Anolis sagrei: one gene and its partner. The protein of the gene in region 1 interacts with the protein of each later gene in a pairwise test. Links are inferred from orthologs where the notes say so. Each region holds a gene or a part of one and is shown on either strand. Other genes may lie near its edges.

Region 1 (7,157 bases):
TAATTTTGTACAGGCATCAAATTGTGCCTTTTCTGTAAGCCGCCCTGAGTCCTCCATCCGGGGTTGAGAAGGGTGGGGTAAAAGTACCCGAAATAAATAAATAAATATGTGGTTTTGCACATGCATTGTAATGTATTTTTTATTTTTTGGATTCTTAAATCTCTTCTGCTGTGTTTTCCAGTGTTTTTATGTGTCATGGTCATTCATTGGCCTGAGAGGTGTATTGTGTCCAAATTTGATGTCAATTCATCCAGTGGTTTTTGAGTTATGTTAATCCCACAAATGAACATTGCATTTTATTTATATAGATTATTATTATTATTATTATTATTATTATTATTATTCTGTTATTGTAATTATATTATATTATTAATTATTTGCAGCAGGGACATCTTGCTATAGCACGTTATATTATTATTATACAATAATTATATTATATTATTGTATTATATTACCAATTATTATCTGCAAGAGCGACATTTTGCTATAGCACTTTATTATATTATATTATTATATTTATTATTCTATTATTGTAACTATTATATTATTATAATTGCAGCAGGGACATCTTGCTATAACATGTTATATTATTATATTATAATATATTATATGATTATTATAATAATTATTATATTATTGTATTGTATTATTAATAATTATCTGCAAGAGGAACATTCTGCTATAGCACAATATATTATATTATATTATATTATATTATATTATAATAATTATATTTAGTTTATTATTGTAATTATTATATATTATTATTAATAATTATCTGAAGGAGGGACATTCTGCTATAGCACATTATTATATTATATTATTATAATTATATTTATTTTATTATTGTTCTTCTTCTTATTATTATTAATTATCAGTAGGAGGGACAGCCTGCTATAGCACATGCATTATTATTATAATATAATATATTATTATTGTATTTATTATTATATTGTTGTATTGTATTATTATTAGTAATTATCTGCAGGAGAGACACCCTGCTATAGCACATTATATTATATTATTATTATTATATTATTATTATTGTATTATTGTGTTAAATTATTATAATATTATTAATAATTATCTGCAGGAGGGACATCCTGCTATAGCATATTATATTTTTATTATATTATAATATTACATTATATAATTACAATTATATTTATTATTATATTATTGTATATAATATATTTTAGAAGTAGAAACAGAATGCTTCAGAGAAAAGACTCCATTAGACTCTCAGAACAGTGAGATGCTTTAGGCTTTGGACTATTGATTGTAAGAAAGATGCCCTGTGTTATCTGCACAGAGAAAGTAATCATCATCCCAAGTGACAGCAGAATTGACAAGAAGCAACTGGAAAAACTTACACGATATGAGAATTTAAAGATCAAACTGCAAAGATTTTGGCACAAGCCAGTCAAGCAAGTCCCAGTTGTGATCAGCACACTGGGTGCAGTGCCTCAAGACCGTGGCCTGCACTTGAAAACAATCGGCACTGACAAAATTACCATCTGTCAGCTGCAAAAGGCCACCTTACTGGGATCTTTTGTGTTCAAATACAACAGCCAGCATAGGGATCTTGTTCGCTGTGGACTCATCTTGTTGCATATCAAATAATAATAATAATAATAATAATAATAATAATAATAATTTATTTATTGACTGCCTTATCTTCCTGGGTGGTTTCTAACACATATGGCAGACTTTCAATACCAACAAAGAGACATATAACAGATGACACATCACAAAAAATATCACTTTTTAAAATTCTATCTGTAAATGGATTGATATGCAATATACATGCATGCTGAATACATGTTTGTGAGTAACTGTTACATTTAATGACATCTACTTATTTTTGGTTTCTTGAAAGCATGATTTAAACTAAGATGTTTTGAGGGAGAGTAGATTTTGGGGGTCAACTGAAAAGGACACTTCTGAAACTCTGCTATATATGTTTTTGTGTATTGGCATATCTTTGTTCCTAACAGTTCAGAGACCAATTTGCATGAATACTTGTAGATATTTGCCACTAAGGAGAAGGTTGACACAAGTGAGTTTTGAATTCTAAGGAAGATAATACTTTATGAAAGGTTACAATCTCTAACAAGGTCATGCCTTTCCAAAAGATTCGTAGTTTCCCCCAAAAAGTTATGAATGGCATTTTCCAAAACCGCCCATCCTCCTCTTCCTTTTTGTTTTCCTTCTTCGCCTTCTGTTTCCTGCAGCTTAAGAAGTCTCCTTGGAAGGTCCTAGTGAAGACCCCCAATCTGAGCTCTAGGTAGCCCAATAGAGTATCCTTGGAAGGTCTCAGTGATGATCCCCAATCTGAGTTCTAGGTAACCCAATGGAGTATCCTTGGAAGGTCCTAGTGAAGACCCCCAATCTGAGTTCTAGGTAACCTAATGGGGTGTCCTTGGAAGGTCCTAGTGAAGACCCCCAATCTGAACTCTAGAAAGCCCAATAGAGTATCCTTGGAAGGTCCCAGTCAAGACCCCCCAATCCGAGCTCTAGGTAGCCCAATGAAGTATCCTTGGAAGGTCCTAGTGAAGACCCCCAATCTGAGCTCTAGGTAGCCCAATGGAGTCTCCTTGGAAGGTCCTAGTGAAGACTCCTAATCTGAGCTCTAGGTAACCCAATGGAGTCTCCTTGGAAGGTTCTAGTGAAGACCCCCAGTCTGAGCTCTAGGTAACCCAATGGAGTCTCCTTGGAAGGTCCTAGTGAAGACCCCCAATCTGAGCTCTAGGTAGTCCATTGGAGACCTTCTCCTGCTCCTTCTATAGACTCACCAGATACAGACGGCTTGGGCTCCTGAGCCAGATGCTCCTCCGTGGCTCGGCTCTGCTTCTCTTTAGGGAATGGGCCTCTTGTGAAGCAGGCTCCTCCTGAATGGCAAACGGACCATCTAAGGCCCAGAAGGACGGGGCCTTCCCCTTTCTCCGGGGCCCCCAAAGCAAGGCCCCCGCTTGCCACACTTGGCTCGTCTGACGCTAACACTTGTCTTCTGAACAGGAAGTCCCAGCGGTAGAGGCAACCGCACAGAAACCTGATGCAATTCAGGGGCCCGGCTTCCTCCTCTTCCTCTTGTGGAGCCACTTTGACACCAAAGAGAGCGACCCAAGGTCGCGTGCCTTCCCCAACACCCTTTGGGGTTATTGCTGAATTTTTAGTTGTATATATATACTAGCCGTCCCCTGCCACACTTTGCTGTGGCTGTCTGTGTATAGGTGTTTGTGTGTGTATATATTTGTGTATATGTGTATATATGTATGTTTGTGCAGTGGTTTTGCATATGCGTTAAAATGTATTTTTTTATTTTTTGGCTTTTTAAGTCTCTTCTGCTGTGTTTTCCATGTTTTTATGAGTGATGGTCACTCATTGGCCTGATAGGTGTATTTTGTCCAAATTTGGTGTCAATTCATCCAGTGGTTTTTGAGTTATGTTAATCCCACAAACGAACAGTACATTTATACACACACATATATATGTATCCAGGGCCGTAGCCAGAGGGAGGGGGTTTAAGGGTTCTAACCCCCCCCCCCCCCCAACCCTGGTTTATTCATGAATTTTAACTGGTCAACCAATTTATGAGTAAATTCTTTTTTAACCTGACACATTTCAGGACAGGGTTGAACTTTTAAACCCCTCCCTCTGGCTACGGCCCTGTGCATGTATATGTAAAGGTTTTCCCCTGACATTAAGTCCAGCTGTGCCTGACTCTGGGGGTTGGTGCTCATCTCCATTTCTAAAGCAAAGAACCGGCATTGTGCATAGACACCTCCAAGGCTATGGAGCCACTGGCATGACTGCATGGAGTAGCCTTACCTTCCTAGCAGAGCGGTACCAATTGATCTACTCACATTTGCATCTTTTTGAACTGCTAGCTTGGCAGAAGCTGGGGCTAACAGGAGGAGCTCACCCCGCTCCTCATATTCGAACTGCTTACCTTTTGGTCAGCAAGTTCAGCAGCTCAGCGGTTTAACCAACTGCCCCATCAGGGGGTTCTATATATATATATATATATATATATATATATACACACCGCTTTATTGCTCCATACAGAGACTCAAATTGTCTAACAATCTAAAACATTACAACTTAAAATATACAAATGTAGAATAATAAAACAGAATATATTTTATATATTCAGTAGTATTATAGTTAATTAAATCAGTATTATTATATTACAATATTATTATTATATATCATTATATTCTATTATTATTATTATTATTATTATTATTATTATTATTATTATTATTATTATTTGAAGCACAACAAGATGAGTCCACAGCAGACACTCTGCTGGCTGTTGTATTGGATCACACTTTGGACACTTCCCAAGCATCTAGGACTGTGTGATTTATTGTTATTATTATTATTATTATTATTATTATTATTATTATTATTATTTTGAAGCACAAGAAGATGAGTCCACAGCAGACACTCTGCTGGCTGTTGTATTGGATCACACGTCAGACACTTCTCAAGTGTCTAGGACTGTGTGATGTATCGGCGAATAATGCATGCAGACCCCAGTAAAATGGCCTTTTGCAACTGGCAGATGGTAATTTTGTCAGCACTGATTGTGTTTAAGTGCAGGCCAAGGTCTTTAGTCACTGCACCCAGTGTGCTGATCACCACTGGGACCACCTTAACTGGCTTGTGCCAAAGTTTTTGCAGTTCGATCTTTAAATCCTCATATCATGTCATCTTTTCCAGTTGCTTCTCTTCAATCCTGCTGTCGCCTGGGATTGCAATATCAACAATCCATACTTTGTTTTTTTTAACATGATTGTGAGGTCAGGAGTCTTGCGCTCCAAAACACTATCAGTCTGAATCCGGAAGTCCCAGAGGAGTTTGGCGTGTTCATTCTCTGTAACTTTTTCCAGCTTGTGATCCCACCAGTTCTTTGTCGCAGGCAGATGGTGTTTGTGGCATAACTTCCAATGGATCATCTGAGCAACGGTGTTCTGCCTCTGCTTGGAGTCTGTCTGCGCGATCTTCTTGCAGCAGCTGAGGATGTGATCTATTGTTTCATCTGCTTCCTTACAGAGTCTCCATTTGGGATCTGTTGTTGACTTTTCAGTTCTGGCTTTGATGGCATTGGTTCGAATGGCTTGTTCTTGGGCTGCCAGAATCAGGGCCTACGTCTCCTTTTTCAAAGTTCCATTTGTGAGCCACAGCCATGTTTTTTCTTTGTCCATTTGGCTCTCAATTTTTGCCAGGAATTGTCCATGGAGAGCCTTCTTTTGCCAGTTTCCTCTTCTGCTCTGCATTGTGTTTTTACGGTATTCACTCTTTGTCTTTTGCACTTGAAGCAGCTTTCTATTATTTACTTCCCTCAATGTTGGTTCTTGACTGCCTTTCACATAATCTGCCAGCACATGTTTTTCTTCTTCTACCGTTTGTTTCACTTGCAGAAGCCCTCTCTCTGCCTCCTGATTTTCTGGGCAGGTAAAGTCTGTTGACATCACTACGCGGATGTAATGCGTAGTGGATTGTCATCAGTTTTCTTGTTTTTCTGTCCAGATCATCCAGCTCTGTTTGTGTCCAGTTCACAATCCCAGCAGTGTATCTAATGACGGGGATGGCCCAGGTGTTGAGAGCCTTAATTGTATTTCTGCCATTTAATTTGCTCTTCAAAACCTTTCTGACTCTTTTATTATTATTATTATTATTATTATTATTATTATTATTAGGTTCTTGTGGGTTTTTTCGGGCTATAGAGCCATGTTCTAGAGGCATTTCTCCCGACGTTTCGCCTGCATCTATGGCAAGCATCCTCAGAGGTATCCTCAGCATCCTCCTGAGACCTCACTACCTCTGAGGATGCTTGCCATAGATGCAGGCGAAACGTCAGGAGAAATGCCTCTAGAACATGGCTCTATAGCCCGAAAAAACCCCACAAGAACCTAGTGATTCCAGCCATGAAAGCCTTCGACAATACATTATTATTATCATTATTATTATTATTATTATTATTTATTTTATATTATTTTTTATATAATAATAATAATAATAATAATAATAATAATAATAATAATAATAATTGTAGCCCCTGGTGGTGCATCTGACCTGGGAAACCTAGACAGCCCCTCCATCTAGCAATTGGTTGGTCTTCCTCTCAGCCTTAGCAGGAGCCTCCCCCCCAACCCAGGAAAAGCTGCATTTTCCTTTTCCTTCCTTAGGTTTTCATTAATCTGTAATCACTTCATAGAAAAATAAATGTCGAAAAAGAAACACCACGACCTGGTTCAGGGTTCTAGAGTGAAGCAAACATCCTGTCATGGAGCGGAACGCGTTCCACTCTAATGAACCCAGGAAATGATGATCAAAATGAAGAGAGGCAGGTGCAAGGAAATGCACGCCGTGAAGAGCAATCCAGCCCTGATGGTGTTAATTTTTTTTATTAACACTTATCATATTGCTCTTTGGTGAGTAGCATAAGAAGAGATGGGAAAAAACAACAAAGAGCGGTACAATTTAAAGCATAAAATGAAAAAAAGCACCCAAAATACTACAGTTTTGTGGAGACACAAAACTTTGGAAAAGCAGACAGGTGAGATACAAAAGTTCTGTTGGATGATCCTGATGCGACTTCTGGGGATTTATTTAGGAGTATAGTTGCAAGGAGGATACTGAAAACAGCTGGAAGGCATACAAAAACAGCAGAAGCAGTTGCAGCAACAGCAACAACAACCCACTTTTGCTGCAAAGGCCCTTCCTTCCCTCCCATCTACCAACAAAGCCAAGTTTTGGTGCTGCAGAGGACAGGGAAAGTGCTCCTAGTTTGAAAGTGTTAGTTATTCATGTTTAATAGTGTGGTCCTTACTTTACAATTATTGTTCTACTCCTGAAATTTCACAACCTCTGAGGATGCCTGCCATAGATGCAGGTGAAACGTTAGAAGAGAATGCTTCTGGAACATGGCTGTGAGGAATTATAGGCACTGTTGTGTGGCAGGGGAGACCTTTCTTTTCTATCCCACCACTGCCACCATTTTATATTGTAGCGAGGGAGGGAGACTATTTCTTTATTTAAGAAAATCCTCTTTACTCTTATAAGGATTCAGTTTCTTCTTTTATATTTGCTGGGACTTTCTGTATGCTGTTTAACCTTTGTACAGGCACTGAGACACACTTCTGTAT
Region 2 (7,951 bases), on another chromosome or scaffold:
ATAACACGTCTAAAAATTGTGCCACCAACACAAACTATTTGGGAAGCCCTTCACGAACGTCTCATGGTGTAGTTTGGAAAGTTCTGATATCAATGATAATAATAACACTTTATTTATATTTATTTATTTATTTATTTATTTGACTTGTATACCGCTACTCCCAATTTGGCTCGGAGCAGTTTACAGCAGTAGATTAAAAGAATACAATTAACTTTAAAATACAATAAAAACAAGAACAGACATAGTCTCGAGTTATTCACCCATCAAAAGCTTGTCGGAAGAAAAAGGTTTTACAGGCTTTCCGAAAAGCAAGTAGGTCTCAGATAGATCGGGTTTCAACTGGCAAGGCATTCCATAAATAAGGGGCCACAATCGAGAAGGCTCTCTGCCTAGTAGAGGACAGATGATAAGTCCGGATGTTGGGGACTTCAAGCAAATTTTGGTCTTCGGACCGAAGTAATCTCTGGGGTTGGTAGGGGGATAAGTGGGCCCTCAGGTACGCCGGCCCCAGACCATATAAGGCCTTAAAGGTTAATACCAGCACCTTGAAAGTAATCCGGTACTCAATTGGTAGCCAGTGCAGCTGTTGTAGAACTGGGGTGATACGACACCTCACCGGCACCCTGGCGAGAAGACGAGCCGCCGCATTTTGCACCAGCTTCAGTTTCCGGATCACTGACAAAGGAAGGCCAATGTAGAGGGCGTTACAGTAGTCAAGCCTCGAGCTGACCATTGCCTGGATCACCGTAGCCAGGTCGTTCCTAGATAGGTAGGGAGCCAGTCGCCTAGCAGATGGAAAAATGCAGATCTGCTCACAGCAGAGACCTGGGCCTCCATTGTGAGCAGAGGGTCCAATAAGACACCAAGACTTTTTACAGCCTATCTCCACACTATCTCCGAGGGATTGTGATACTTATATACAAGCAGTCCCCGAGTTATAGATATTCAGTTTCCATACAACTCATAGTTAAGAAGGGGTGGGACAACAGGAAGTGAGAGAAATCTAGCCCTCGGAAGGAAAATTCACTCCTAGAAGAGTTATCATCATGGGGAAAAGGTTTCTCAACTAAAGCTTTATCACCAATCCTGGTTTCCACAACAAGCAAATTTTTCAAAAGCCAATGATCACAGGGGCAGAAAGTGAGGTGAAATCTTCTGAACAGGGGCACAGGCAGCAAAACAAACACCACAGGAGTGTTAACCCTTCCCTATGCTATCTAAAGCTAATCTATATACATATTTGGCTTGAATTACCCTTCAAAAAATGGACCTGTTCTAACTTGCATACAAATTCAAGTTGAGAAGAAACCTTCAGTATTATTATTATTATTTTACTGACACAAAAACACAGTATGTCACAGCAAATGAGATATATATGCTGGATTTCATATCACAAAATCACAAGTTGAACACTTCCAAAGTGTCTAGGACTGTGTGATGTATTTTCGAATGATGCACACAGCTCCAAGTAAGGTGGCCTTTTGCAGTTGATAGATGATGATTTTGTCAATGTTTATTGTTTTCAAATGCTGGCTGAGATCTTTTGGCACGACACCCAGTGTGCCGATTACCACTGGGAACACCTGTACTGGTTTATGCTAGAGCAGTGGTTCTCAACCTTCCTAATGCCGTGACCCCTTAATACAGTTCCTCATGTTGTGGTGACCCCCAACCATAACATTATTTTTGTTGCTACTTCATAACTGTAATTTTGCTACTGTTATGAATCACAATGTAAATATCTCATACTTTCATTCACTGGACCAAATTTGACACTAATACCCGATACGTCCAAATTTGAATACTGGTGGGACTGGGGGGGATTGACTTTGTCATTTGGGAGTTGTAGTTGATGGGATTTATAGTTAACCTACATGCAAAAAGCATTCTGAACTCCACCACCAATGGAACTGAACCAAACCTGGCACACAGAAGTCCCATGACCAACATAAAATACTAGAAGTGTTTGGTGAGCATTGACCTTGAGTTTTGGAGTTGTAGTTCACCTACATCCAGAGAGCATGGTGGACTCAAACAGTGATGGATCTGGACCAAATTTGGCACAGATACTCAATATGCCCAAATGTGAACACTGGTGGAGTTTGGGGGGGGGGGGGAGACCTTGACATTTGGGAGTTGTAGTTGCTGGGATTTACAATTCACCTACAATCAAAAAGCATTCTGAACCACACCAATGATAGAATTGGGCCCAACTTCCCAAAACAGAACCCCTATGACCAACAGAAAATACTGTGTTTCTGATGGTCTTTGGCGACCCCTTTGGTATCCCCTCATGACCCCCCCAGGCAGGACATAGTGGATAAGCATACAGATGTGGAGTTGTCTGTTCTGCTCCACAGTCACACAAGGTGTGGGATTCTTTTAGGTAGTGCCATTTTGCCAGGTTGTCTTTTGATCTGCCCACTCCACTTCTGAATTTGTTCAGGGACTTCCAAGTTACCCATCCTTGATTTGCCCCTGAAGGAAGAGCCTCGTGGGTGGGGGTGGGGGTGGGGGGCATCCAGTTCGGATTTCTTGGTTGAGCTGCCCAGAGGGATACCCCAAGGATATTAGGCAAGCCCCCACATTGGCAGTCTTTAGGAGGAGCTTGAAAACATGGTTGTTCCAATGTGCCTTCCCTGAATAAAAGAACAATAATTTATAACTTTATTCTATTTGTTGGGACACTCAACCCTACCTTGCCCTCTAAAAAACCCTGTTTAGATTCATTTTACTGCTGTTCACACCCAGAGTTTTAAATTGTGAATCTATTAGATTTGGCCCTGCCCACAGTGTTGGATCTTTGTGTTTTTAAATGTTTTGTTTTACTGCTGATATGTTATTTATAATGGTTTTGTATTGTATTTTTCCCCTTTATTTTATTGCTGTGTTGATTTACTGATGTATTGTATCATTGGGCTTGGCCTCATGTAAGTTGCCCCGAGTCCCCTTGGGAAGATGGTGGTGGGGTATAAATAAAGTTTCATTATTATTATTATTATTATTATTATTAGTGCTCAACCTTATTTCTCTCACATTAAGCAGCAACTTCCCGTTGCACATCGGGGGGGGGGGGGGGCGGTGGCAATGCCAGCTAGCTTGTGTAGGTTTAAGACATCCTGTGATTATTCTGCATGTTTCATTCCATGCTATGTAATGGCCAAGGAGCTCTGGCATGAGCTGGTCCAGGAGGTCACGAAGAGTGAGTCGGATGTGACTGAACGAATAAACAACAACAGTTTTCCCTAACAGAAGGTGTCTCTGATAACCCAGTTCAAAGCAGAGATTGCGGATCATTTGAAGCCCTAACTCTCCCCGCCCCTTGGCTACAGTCCTGGCTGAGACTGTTGGAAATAGTGGGAGCTAGTCCAACCCCCTTCTGCCTTCATGCAGTCAAAGCACAATCAAAGTGCCCCCAACAGGTGGCCATCCAACCCCAACAACAACAACAGAATTGGAAGAGACCACATGGGCCATCTAGTCCAGGGGTCCTCAAACTAAGGCTGGAGGGCCGGAAACGGCCCTCCAAGGTCATTTACCCGGCCCTCGCTCAGGGTCAGTCTAAGTCTGAAACGACTTAAAAGCACACAACTATAATAACAATCCCATCTCACCAGCCAAAAGCAGGCCCACACTTCCTACTGAAATACTAATAAGTCTATATTTGTTAAAATTGTTCTTAATTTTAATTATTGTATTGTTTTAAAGTGTTTTTGCACTACAAATAACATATGTACAGTGTGCATAGGAATTCATTCATTTTTTTTTAAAAAATATAATCCGGCTCTCCAACAGTTTGAGGGACTGTGACATGGCCCTCTGTTTACAAAGTTTGAGGATCCCTGATCTAGTTCAATCCCCTTCTACCTTCATGCAGCAAAAGCACAATGAAAGCACTCCTGACAGATGGCCATCCAGCCTCAACAACAACACCGACAGAATTGGAAGAGACCGCATGGGCCATCTAGTCCAACCCCTTTCTGCCCTCATGCAGTCAAAGCACAATCAAAGCGCCCCCGACAGATGGCCATTCAATCTCAACAGCAACAACAACAGAATTGGAAGAGACCACATGGGCAATCTAGTCCAACCCTCTTCTGCCTTCGTGCAGCAAAAGCACAATGAACGCAACCCTGACAGATGGCCAACCAGCCTCAATGACAACAACAACATGGACCATCTAGTGCAACCCCCTACTTCCTTCATGCAGTAAAAGCACAATGAAAGCACCTCTGACAAATGGCCATCCAGCCACAACAACAGAATTGGAAGAAACCACATGGACCATCAAGTCCATCAAGTCCAATCTCCTTCTGCCTTCGTGCCCCAAAAGCACAATGAAAGCACCCCTGACAGATGACCATCCAGTTTCAACAACAACAAGAGTTGGAAGAGACCCTTAGGCCTCTTCCACACTGCCCCTGTATTCCAGGATCTGATTCCAGATTATCTGCTTTAAATTGGATTATATGAGTCCCCAGTGCCAGATAATCTGGGATAAGCAGATAATCTGGGCTCAGATCCTGGGACAGAGAGTGGTGTGGAAGAGGCCTGAATTCCAGTGTGGGGAAATGATTGATATGTGTCTCAGGGCCCTTCCATACAGCCATATAACCCTGAACATCAAGACAGATTATCCAGATGATCTGAGTCCAAAAAACCTGGAGGGAAGGCTCAGGTTGTCCCCTGCCTGGCCTAGAGAGTCCCTTCTGCGGGACAGCGGCGCCTGTTGCTGCTGGGTGCGCCTTCCCGGCTTGGCACCGGCAGGAAGCGGAGGAGGAGTCCCCGGTTGCCCGGCCTGCCTTTCCCTCCCCTTCCCTGCCCTGCCCTCCCTCCTTTCCCCAGGAGATCCTCCCTCTGCGAAGGAGGGGCCAGTGCCGAGGAGGACGCACAGGAAAGCGAAAAAAAGAAACAGAAGAAAGTTTGGCCGAGACTTTGGAGACTTTGTTTCTCCTTTGCGGCATGGACGCCCTCAAATCCGCCGGGCGGGCCATCATCCGGAGCCCGAGCTTCGCCAAACCCGGCTGGGGAGGAGGCAAGCACAAAAGTGAGTTAGTTTCCCCCATTTTTCCAAAGTGATCCCCCCTTTTGGACCCCCCTCTTGAGCCTTTCCAAAGGAAAGAGTCTGGAGTTCTGCTGCGCCCTCCGTGCGCCCTCGGTGCGCTTTTGGAGAGGTTTAGGGGGACCGCCTAAACCGCCTCGCTTTGGGACCTTGCTCCGGGTCGAGGGGATCCGTTTCCTGATCCGATTACAGAGAGGAAACTCCACTCCCAGGATCCGATCTCACTGGGTGGGGGGAATCTCCGTCGAGGGTTTTTTTCCGGATCTTAACTCGCCTCGGATGTTTCTCGGTGGCTAAAGTTTGGGGAACTTTTCCCCGGCGCTCAGTCATTGCTTTGTCAGCAAACTTTTTGTTTGTTTCAGTCTCATTACATTAGAGAGAAAGATCTACTGAAAATCCGGTTTCTGGGCTTTGTAGTTTAGGGAGGAGCCTTTCACAGCCTCACTAAACTACAAACCCCAGCATTCTGCAGAAGGCAGAAACCGGATTTTAAGTGGATTTTCTCTCTCTAATGTGATGAGAAGCCATAGAAACAAACCACAGAAAGCCATAGAAACAAACTTCATCACACTAGAGAATGAATCCACTTAAAATCCGGTTTCTGGGGTTTGTAGTTTAGGGAGGAGCCTTTCACAGCCTCACTAAACTACAAACCCCAGCATTCTGCAGAAGGCAGAAACCGGATTTTAAGTGGATTCATTCTCTAGTGTGATGAAGTTTGTTTCTATGGCTTCCATGGTTTAGAGCAGTGGTTCTCAACCTGGGGGTCGGGACCCCTGGAAGGGTCACAAGAGAGTGTCAGAGGGGTCACTAAAGACCACCAGAAAACACAGTATTTTCTGTTGGTCATGGGGGTTCTATGTGGGAAGTTTGGCCCAATTCTGTCATTGGTGGGGTTCAGAATTCTCTTTAATTGCAGGTGAACTATAAATCCCAGCAACTACAACTCCCAAGATATCAAAGTCTATTTCCCCCAAATTCCACCAGTATTCACATCTGGGCATCTTGAGTATTCATGCCAAGTTTAGTCCAGATCCATCATTGTTTGAGTCCGCAGTGCTCTCTGGATATAAGCAAACTACAACTCCAAAACTCAAGTCAATGCCCACCAAAATCCTTCCAGTATTTTCTGTTGGTCAGGGGAGTTCTGTGTGCCAAGTTTGGTTCAATTCCATCATTGGTGGAGTTCAGAATGCTCTTTGATTGTAGGTGAACTATAAATCCCAGCAACTACAACTCCCAAGATATCAAATTCCCAATTCCATCATTGGTGGAGTTCAGAATGCTCTACAATCAAAGAGCTCTGTGATGCTCTTTGATTGTAGGTGAACTATAAATCCCAGCAACTACAACTCCCAAGATATCAAATCCCCAAATTCCACCAGTATTCACATCTGGGCATCTTGAGTATTATTGCCAAGTTTAGACCAGATCCATCATTGTTTGAGTCCACAGTGCTCTCTGGATGTAGGCGAACTACAACTCCAATACTCAAGGTCAATGCCCACCAAACCCTTCCAGTATTTTCTGTTGGTCATGGGAGTTCTGTGTGCCAAGTTTGGCCCAATTCCATCGCTGGTGGAGTTCAGAATGCTCTTTGATTGCAAGTGAACTATAAATCCCAGCACCTACAACTCCCAAATGTCAAAGTTTATTTCCCCCAAAGTCCACAAGTGTTCACATTTAGGTATACTGAGTATTATTGCCAAGTTTAGTCCAGATCCATCATTGTTTGAGTCCACAGTGCTCTCTGGATGTAGGCGAACTACAACTCCAAAACTCAAGGTCAATGCCCACCAAAATCCTTCCAGTATTTTCTGTTGGTCACAGGAGTTCTGTGTCCCAAGTTTGGTTCAATTCCATCATTGGTGGAGTTCAGAATGCTCTTTGATTGTAGGTGAACTATAAATCCCAGCACCTACAACTCCCAAATGCCAATGTCTATTTCCCCCAAAGTCCACAAGTGTTCACATTTAGGTATACTGACTATTATTGCCAAGTTTAGTCCAGATCCATCATTGTTTGAGTCCACAGTGCTCTCTGGATGTAGACGAACTACAACTCCAAAACTCAAGGTCAATGCCCACCAAAATCCTTCCAGTATTTTCTGTTGGTCACGGGAGTTCTGTGTGCCAAGTTTGGTTCAATTCCATCATTGGTGGAGTTCAGAATGCTCTTTGATTGTAGGTGAACTATAAATCCCAGCAACTACAACTCCCAAATGACAAAATCAACCGCCCAACCCCACCAGTATTGAAACATGGGCGTATCGGGTATTTGTGCCAAATTTGATCCAGTGAATGAAAATACACCCTGTGTATCAGATATTTACATGACGATTCATAACAGCAGCAAAATGACAGTTATGAAGTAGGAAGGAAAATAATGTTATGGTTGGGGGTCACCACCACATGAGGAACTGTATTAAGGGGTCGCAGCATGAGGAAGGTTGAGAACCATTGGTTTAGAGGACCTTTCTGTCCTCTCTTTTTCTCATCTGGGGTGTCTTTCCAAAGGTTTGCAACAGTTTAATAAGGACCACCAAAGATTCACAGCAACCCTGCCCCAATCCCTGGATCCTTCGCCTCTAGAGCAGAGCTTTCCAAACTTTGTCATGTTGGGGACACACTAGAGCAGGCATGGGCCCTCCAGGTGTTTTGGACTTCAACTCCCACAATTCCTAGCAGCCTCAGGTCCCTTCATTAGCATTTGAAGGCCTGCCTGAGCCTGGAAATTACAACAGCAAAACAACAGAGAGGAAACAACCAGGCACATCTTAACACCTCTCAGCAAGAGATTTTCCCAGGCTCAGGCAGGCCTTCAAATGCTAATGAAGGTGGTCAGTTGAAACATTCACACCTAGCTCCAGCAGAGAAAAGCTCTTTGCCC

What was found.
Region 2: the proteins of PSD4 (region 1) and LDLRAP1 interact in binary tests that used the Homo sapiens proteins (3 or more experiments, as listed by UniProt). The two-hybrid records come from large-scale screens. The link is inferred for Anolis sagrei from reciprocal best matches to the Homo sapiens genes PSD4 and LDLRAP1.

Annotation. Positions count from the first base shown.
Region 1 is NC_090027.1:20,934,262-20,941,418, forward strand, and holds the start of PSD4 (PH and SEC7 domain-containing protein 4), read right to left. Parts: upstream 3,002-7,157; 5' UTR 2,796-3,001; intron 1-2,795. UniProt on the Homo sapiens protein: Guanine nucleotide exchange factor for ARF6 and ARL14/ARF7. Through ARL14 activation, controls the movement of MHC class II-containing vesicles along the actin cytoskeleton in dendritic cells. Involved in membrane recycling.
Region 2 is NC_090034.1:75,620,475-75,628,425, reverse strand, and holds the start of LDLRAP1 (low density lipoprotein receptor adapter protein 1), read left to right. Parts: upstream 1-4,838; 5' UTR 4,839-4,962; coding exon 4,963-5,047; intron 5,048-7,951. UniProt on the Homo sapiens protein: Adapter protein (clathrin-associated sorting protein (CLASP)) required for efficient endocytosis of the LDL receptor (LDLR) in polarized cells such as hepatocytes and lymphocytes, but not in non-polarized cells (fibroblasts).